2 linked regions of the Sus scrofa genome follow. The protein of the gene in region 1 interacts with the protein of each later gene in a biochemical or structural test. Links are inferred from orthologs where the notes say so. Each region holds a gene or a part of one and is shown on either strand. Other genes may lie near its edges. The genes, in order: FLT4 and VEGFD.

The links.
Region 2: the proteins of FLT4 (region 1) and VEGFD form a complex in vitro, tested with the Homo sapiens proteins (2 studies listed by BioGRID). The link is inferred for Sus scrofa from reciprocal best matches to the Homo sapiens genes FLT4 and VEGFD.

What each region holds. Positions count from the first base shown.
Region 1 is NC_010444.4:78,074,836-78,079,082, forward strand, and holds the start of FLT4 (vascular endothelial growth factor receptor 3), read left to right. Parts: upstream 1-1,172; 5' UTR 1,173-1,244; coding exon 1,245-1,311; intron 1,312-4,247. UniProt on the Homo sapiens protein: Tyrosine-protein kinase that acts as a cell-surface receptor for VEGFC and VEGFD, and plays an essential role in adult lymphangiogenesis and in the development of the vascular network and the cardiovascular system during embryonic development.
Region 2 is NC_010461.5:11,906,130-11,909,941, reverse strand, and holds part of VEGFD (vascular endothelial growth factor D), read left to right. Parts: intron 1-3,200; coding exon 3,201-3,391; intron 3,392-3,812. UniProt on the Homo sapiens protein: Growth factor active in angiogenesis, lymphangiogenesis and endothelial cell growth, stimulating their proliferation and migration and also has effects on the permeability of blood vessels.

The sequences.
Region 1 (4,247 bases):
TGTGGCTCAGAGGAAACAAATCTGACTAGCATCCATGAGGATACAGGTTCGACCCCTTGCCTCACTCATTGGGTTAAGGATCTGGCATTGCCGTGAGCTGTGGTGTAGGTCACAGATGTGGCTCGGATCTGGCATGGCTGTGGCTGTGGCTGTGGCTGGCAGCTGCAGCTCTGATTTGACCCCTAGCCTGGGAACCTTCATATGCCATGGGTGCAGCCCTAAAAAGACAAAAAAAAAAAAAAAAAAGGTTGATGAAAATATTTAATTTCATTTATTTGGTTGCTAACTTTCCCCAACATTATTTATTAAATCATCTAAACTATCACCACCTACTTGTGATTATTACTGAATATATTCCATTCTTACTTGCACTTGAGATTTGGTAACAGTTATTATCAACAATGGTTTTGGGCAAGGATGAAGGGAGTTTTGTGGGGGCCTGGAGGTGGGGGATAATAAAAGTGTGAAGTACAAGAAAAGCAGAAGAGGGAGATAGCCATCATCATGGGATTTGTTTTTAAATAGGAAAATTCTAGAGACAGAACTGAAAAGAGAAAGGACGTCTGTGAGGTTGCCAAGTCAGAGAGCAAAGTGTCACCTGATAAAAGGACTTATGAATGAGCTTTGAGCAAAACTATTTGGAGATCTAAGGAGGAGCCCATGCCTGCAGGATGGAGGTTGGTTCACTGGGTGCCTGACCAAGGATACAGCCTCTATCTACACTACGGACACAGTAAGGTATAAAGTTTGTGGAATGTTCTCAAAGATTTGACATATTCCTACTTTAAATTATATTTATTGCTCTTTTTTCTTACTTTAAACATAGTATTTATTGACTAAAGAAAATTACAGAAAAATACGTGCTGCCACATTTTTGTGCAACCATTTTAACGCACAGTAAAGAACTGGTACATTACCTGCATCCTCTGCCTGCTCGGAGAGGCCCTGGGGCGGGCCTAAAGGACTGCCATTGACTCGGAAGTGGGGCCGCCAAGAGCCAGCCTTCCCTCCGCGGTGCACTGCCAGCACCCTCAGAACTAGGCCGGACACTCCATTGGTTGGGGGCGGGACTGAGGTACGACTGCAGCCCAAGACCCCTGGCCCCGCCTCTGGAGTCCCGCCCCCCGGCCCCGCCCCGGCTCTGGCCGCAGCCCCGCCCCGGCCCCGCCCGCGCCGCGCCGCGAGCCCACAATCACAGCCCCGAGCCGCGCTCGCGCATCTGACCAGTGCCACAGCGGCCGGAGATGCAGCGGGGTGCCGCGCTATGCCTGCGCCTGTGGCTCTTCCTTGGACTGCTCGACAGCAAGCGTGGTGAGCCTTCCGCCCGCCTCATTGCTCAGCCAGCCTCGAGGGGGGACGCTTTCCCTGGGCGTACGGTGGAACCGCACCGACGGGAGACAGGCGGGAGACAGGGCCACCAGGACCCTTGGGCAAGAGGGGAGACAGGGTCGGGAGCCAGGGATACAGGCCCCAGAACCTGCACAGAGCTCGACGATCCGATTCGGGCTGGGGCCCGCCGGTTTAAGGAAAGGGCGGGGACGGGGCGCCGGGCATAGAGATCGCTCTCCGGGTCCAAGACTTCGCTCCACCGTCTATGGCTCAGCTCCCTTGGAGCTGGGCCCCGTTGTGCTGCATCCTCAGCCTGGATCCTTCTCTTGCTTACGCGCTTCCCGGCGGAGTCTAGGCACCTCCGACCCATGCACACTGAAGATTGCAGTCCCGTTGGGGTCACAGACTTGGGTGCGCACTTCCCGACGCCTCCTGTCGGAGCTCCAGCTGTCCCCCAGAGGGAACTTGCAGTTAGTGTCCACCTTCCCCAGGCCAGGGACTGCGGGGGCAGGGTCTTGGGGACCGTGGGAGATAGGCGCCGTCGGGCGGTTTGGGTGCAGATGGTACCTGTTGGGATTTGAAGCGAATCACGAGGTAAGTGATCGGCGTGGCCGGCCCTCACCCTGTTTAAGGGGATCGAAGCCTTGAAGGCTGCGCTAAGGATTTTGGATCATACGGTGGGGATGGCCAAGGAGAGGCGAGGTCCGGCTTCTGATGCGAGGTTACCACTAAGGGGCTGGAGGGAAGGGAATGTGAAGGATGAGAGAGGGAGCAGAAGGGTATGGCTGGATGGAGGTGTCAGGATTAAAGCATCAGGAAAGAGGGGAAGATGAACTGGTCACCATGCAAGATCTGGTGACCCTGGAAATCAGAGGGTAGAGGAAAGGTCATGGGTTCCCTAGTAGTTGAGGAGTTTTGGGAGGTCTGAGGGAGAGATGGGGACCTCACTATTTTTTTTTAACACTGTGGGCTTTGAATACTGGCTTCATTTCTTTTAATCCTCACAAGGGAGTGTTAGACTCATTTTACAAATTGGGACATTTAGACCAAGCACAGGTGTCATTTCCCCAAGCTCTTCGGGAGGCTGGGAGTAAGAAGAGGTCAACTCAGATCTTTGGGGTAACAGAGTTCTGTTCTTTGTGCCTACACAGGCTGAAGGGCTGAGCACAGGGGAGGTGAGGGAGGTGTGGGGAGGAGGAGGGAGGTAGAATTTGTCTGAGCTCAAAGCAGAGCAGGTCTGAGTGGAGGGGCTACCACTTAGCCCTTCTTCGCTCCCCTGCACCCTGCCTAGGGCCAGGCTCTCACAGGTGCTCATTATGTGTTTGTTGAATGACTGAAAGAGTAGGGGAAGAGAAGTGAATGGGTCCCTGGTTGGACTTCGGGGCTGAGGGGCAAGAGGACACCCCTGGAGGAAACATCCAAAAGGGAGTTAAGTGTAGTGTCCAAGGCTCAGGAGAGAGGCTGGGTTGGGGAGCTGGAGAGGGAGCAGAGCAAAGGCTCCAGAATGGGACTCCCATCCCCCAAGGAGGGAACCAGAGGAGGGAGAGGCTTCCAGAGGGGTGGGAAACATTCCACATGTGAGGTGTAAGGGAAACCAGGAGAGGCTGGTATCCTGGTGCTCCTGGGTGGAGCAGAACGGGAGGTAGAAGGAGGATGAGGTCAGTCCAAGAGTGAGTGCCGTGGTTCTTACCAAAGTTGGGCAGTAAAAGGGAAGAGAGAATATTAGCTGAGAGGGCCCATGGAGGGAGGGTGGCCCAGGCTGAACCAGGGCATGGCTGCTGGGGAGATTCCCCATGGAGAACAGTCCATCTCCACCCTCCCTGAGCTTTGCATTTGCTCCACCCATTTCTGGGCCGAGGAGGACCTGAGGAGCTCCCACCCTGATGTGGTTGCTGGAGCAGAGGCACACACATTCCAGTGCAGCCAGGTGTCAGTGCAGCCAGAGTGGGAGGCCAAACACTGGCAGGGGAGAAGCCTGGGGACTCTGCAGCTGACCCTTAAAAACTAATGTTGGTCCCAGAACCAGACTTGTCCTAGTCCTGTCTCCTAAACTCCTTGCTGTGTGGCCTGGGCCCCTTTCTTCCTTTCTCTGTGCCTTAGTTTCCCCATGCACAGCAGTACAATAGGCTGGCAAGTGCTGAGGGCCTATGCTTGGGGCTGGACTTTTTGGCCCACAGTGTCCTTGTAGACAAAGCAGGTGGCAGATGTCATCTTCAACAGGCTTTGTCTCTTGGGGCTTAGTCTAGAGAGGGGCCGTTTGCACCTCTGGTCAGTGGACAGTCAACTTAGGTACATGTGGGGAAGGAGGCAGCTGCTAGGAAGCTTGGTTGGCCTGGCCTGAGGCTGCTGCTAGGGGCTGAATCACACACAGCCATCTCAGCTCTTCCATGTCCCTGCTGAACAGCCCTGAGCCAGATCCAGGTGTGGACAGAGGTGTGGGGGTTAGGTGGGGATGCAAGTCAGTACAGGCAGAATGTGGGGGCTGGGCCCATCTTACTGAGTGCCTGTGGACCACTGACCCAGTACAGTGATCTGGGAACTCGAATGCAGGTCCTGCTCATGTACCTGCCATGCCAGAGGCACTGGGTCAGAGTGGCTGAAGGGTGCTCTGCCTCCCCAGAGCACAGTGTCCATATGGCCAGACACCAGGCTGGGCATGAGGTGTAACAAGGGGACTGCCTAGCCAGCTCCTTGCTATACCGTCCCCACCCTGGGCAGTGGCACCCCAACCCAAGGAAGGGGACTGCAGTTCTGGGCAACTTGAAAACTATGGTGTCTGTTCAGGGTGGCCCAAAGAGGATTTGGACCAAGTCCATCCTGCCGGAATTTCCTGAGGCCAGACTATCAGGGGCACAAACGTGGCATCAGACGTCTGTAGCCCAGGGGTGAAAGTGCTCAGGGGCCCCATTGATACCCAG
Region 2 (3,812 bases), on another chromosome or scaffold:
GTATTTTTTTTCATTTATAATGATTTTTATTTCTTCCACTGTAGTTGGTTTACAGTGCTTTGTAAATTTTCTGCTGTACAGCAAAGGGACCCAGTCACACATACATATATACATTCTTTTTCTCCCATTATCCTCCATCCTGCTCCATCATAACTGACTAGATAGAGTTCCCAGTGCTATACAGCGGGATCTCATTGCTCATCCATTCCACCTGCAATAGTGTGCATCTATGAACCCCAGATTCCCGGTCCATCCCACGCCCTCCCCCTCCCCCTTGGCAACAATGATATTTTATCTGTACACTTCAGAAAAATGTTCTGTCTTTTCTAGTGGAAATGTGTTTATATATACACAGGAATTCAGAATCTTGGCAGAAACCAATTACATATTTTTCAAGACGGGCGAAAAATGGAGAGGAGGTTATCTATTGTGGTTTAACACATTACCCCAAAACTTAGCTGCTTCAGACAGCAGTGTTGTTTGTTTGTTTGTTTGTTTTTATGGCCATACCTGAGGCATATGGAAGTTCCCGGGCTAGGGATTGAGCCCGAGCTTCAGCTGTGGCTTGTGCCACAGCTACATCAATGCCAGATCCTTTAACCCACTGCGCAGGGCCAGGGATTGAACCCGCAGCCTCCGCAGCCACCCAAGCCACTGCAGTCAGATTCTTAACCCACTGTGCCACAGCAGGAACTCCCATATAGTGGTTTTTTTTTTTTCTTTTTAGGGCCACCCCCATGGCATATGGAAGTTCCCAGGCTAGCGGTCGAATCAGAGCTACAGCTGTCAGCCTATACCACAGCCATGGCAACACCAGATCCATCCATAGCTTAACCCACAGCTCATGGCAACACCAGATCCTTTGACCTGCCGAACAAAGCCAGGGATTGAGCCTTCCTCCCCACGGATACTAGTTGGGTTCACTAATGCTGCGCCACAATGGGAACTCCCCCAGACAGCGCTTTTTATCTCACGGTCTCCTGGGTCAGAAATGCAGGTGTGACCTTAATTGATGTCCTTCTTTCAGAGTCTCTCCAGAGGCTGCAAAGTATCAGCTAGGGCTGAAGGCATCATCTCAAGGTTCAGTTGGGGCCAGATGTGCTTCCAAGTTTACTCACAGGTTGTCAGCAGGATTCAGTTCACAGGCTGTTGGACTGAGGGTCCCAGCTCCTCACTGGCAGTTGGATAGAGGCCACCCTCAGTTCCCTACCATGTGGGCCTTTCCAACGTGGCAGCTCGCAGCATCAAAGCTTGCAAGCCGAGGAGGCAAGAGAGGGTGCCAGCAACAGATGGAGACTGTTAGCAAGATGGAAATCACAGTCTCTCTTAACCTAGTCATGGAAGTCACATCCCATCACTCTTGCTGTATTCTCTTCCTAAGAATCAGGTCACTAGGTCGAGCCCACACAGAGAGGAGGGGATTACACAAGGGTGTGAACACCAGGAGGCAGCCAACACAGAGGGTCAGTTTAGAAGCAGCCAACCACCAAGGAATTTCACCACCCCTGCCCCACGTATAATCAAGTCTCCAATTCCATGGCAAACTAAGTCTTTGAAATGTTGTCTTTATCATAAAATTGAATCATTTCTCAAAAATATCCACAGAAAGGCTGTGCAACTGTTAAGTATCAAAGTATCAAGATCTAATTAAGGAGTTCCCGTCGTGGCTCAGTAGTTAACGAAGCCGACTGGAAACCAGGAGGTTTCGGGTTCGATCCCTGACCTTGCTCAGTGGGTTAAAGATCCGGCGTTGCTGTGAACTGTGGTGTAGGTCGCAAATGCAGCTCGGATCCTGCGTTGCTGTGGCTGTGGCGTAGGCCAGCGGCTACAGCTCCAATTTGACCCCTAGCCTGGGAATCTCCATATGCCGTGGGAGCGGTCCCAGAAGAGACACACACACAAAAAAAATCTAATTAAAACAATAAACTATGAGAGAAAAGCAAGTGCTATTTTAACAAGATTGCATATAATCTTGTTTTTATTCCCAGAGGCTTCTTTTTCTTGTTTCTCACAAGTTAGCTAGAATGGCCAGAATATTGCTCCTTTCATCAAAATGAACCCCTTCTTTCATCATTTTGTAGAAACATCGGTATCAGGCATTTGCAAATGAGAAAATTCTGACTCGAGGAAAGATTAGTTCCACTTAAATTTTCGTTTATGTATTTGCCAGGTTTGAATCCTACAGTAGGTACTTAAGGAACCAACAGAAACGGATTTCTTGATGGTGCTGAAACCTACCTGCAGCTGGCTTCAAGAAGAAATGCTATGTCAATTGCTTAGTAAATAGTGCTTACATGTTATTGCTTTACGTGCATCCATTTACTTCCTTATTAGGCAGCCTCTCTGCATGTACCTGATGTGGTTATTTTTAAAAATTTTGAGTGTAGTTGATTTAAAGTGTGTTAGTTTCAGGTGTACAGCAAAGAGATTCAGTTATACAGATACATATTCATAGTCCTATTCACATTATTTTCCCATACAGGTTACCACACAGTATTGAGTAGATTTCCCTGTGCTATACAGTAGGTCCTTTTACTTATCTATTTTATATAAAGTAGTGTGTATATGTCACTCCTGACCCACCGCCTAATGTATCCCTCCCCCCACTCCCACGTTTCCCCTTTGGAAACCATAAGTTTGATTGCAAAATCTTTGAGTCTGTTTCTGTTTTGTAAATAGGTTCATTTGTATCATTTTTTTATTAGACTCCACCGATAAGTCATATCATATGATATTTGTCTGGCTTATTATGGTAATCTCTAGGTCCTTCCGTGTTGCTACAAATGACAATATTTCATTCTGTTTATGGCTGAGTAATATTCCATTGTATGTATACACTACATCTTCTTTATCTCTTCACCTGCTGATAGACATTTAGGTGGCTTCCATGTCTTGGCTATTGTGAAATGAGCTGCAGTGAACCTTGAGGTGCATAGATCATCTCCAACCGATGTAGTTCTATACAGGACATGGTGATCATCACCAATGGAAAGTAAAATTCTAGTCTATGCAGGTATCATATCAATAGAAAAGAACACAGATTTGGGTCGGGATTGTTCTGAAGACAATATGTGGTTGAATGGCTGACCCCAATCCCCCATCTAGTGAGATAAACATGAGAAGGTGTTCCGTGTCGCCCTGGCCCACGTGGGCCTGTCAGGGCCGTTGGTTCTGCCGGCCCACTGAGCTCCTCTCTGCAGTTATAGATGAGGAATGGCAGAGGACGCAGTGCAGCCCTCGAGAGACGTGCGTGGAGGTGGCCAGCGAGGTGGGCAGGAGCACCGACACATTCTTCAAGCCTCCCTGCGTGAACGTGTTCCGGTGTGGCGGCTGCTGCAATGAAGAGAGTCTTGTGTGTGTGAACACCAGCACCTCCTATGTTTCCAAACAGGTATGAGGACATCAGCCCTGCCGCTGATCGCACTGACAGCTCCGGCTCAGCTTGTTGCCCAGCGCTGTCTCCATGCTTGATGTGCGTCATTGCCTTTAACCCATGAAACCAGCCAAAAGGGTAGCTGATCGTCTTCCCTGATAGATGGAGGCGCAGAGAGGGGACTTGTGGCAGAGCTGGGATTCAAAGCCGGGTCACTCCAGAGTCTGATCCCTTGTCAGTTACCGTCTCTCTGATGATATAAGGTCAAAAAATCACGTGGAAGTTTCTAGAACAGACATTAAAAGGACCAAAGACAACCGCTCTAACTCATGGACTCATTAGGTTCTGTGTTGTTCGAATGGAGTGATTGAAAAGAGTGTCATGAAGGGTGTGAGCAGAGTCCGGGCAGATGGGCTGGTGAAGTGCTCAGAGCTGGCCG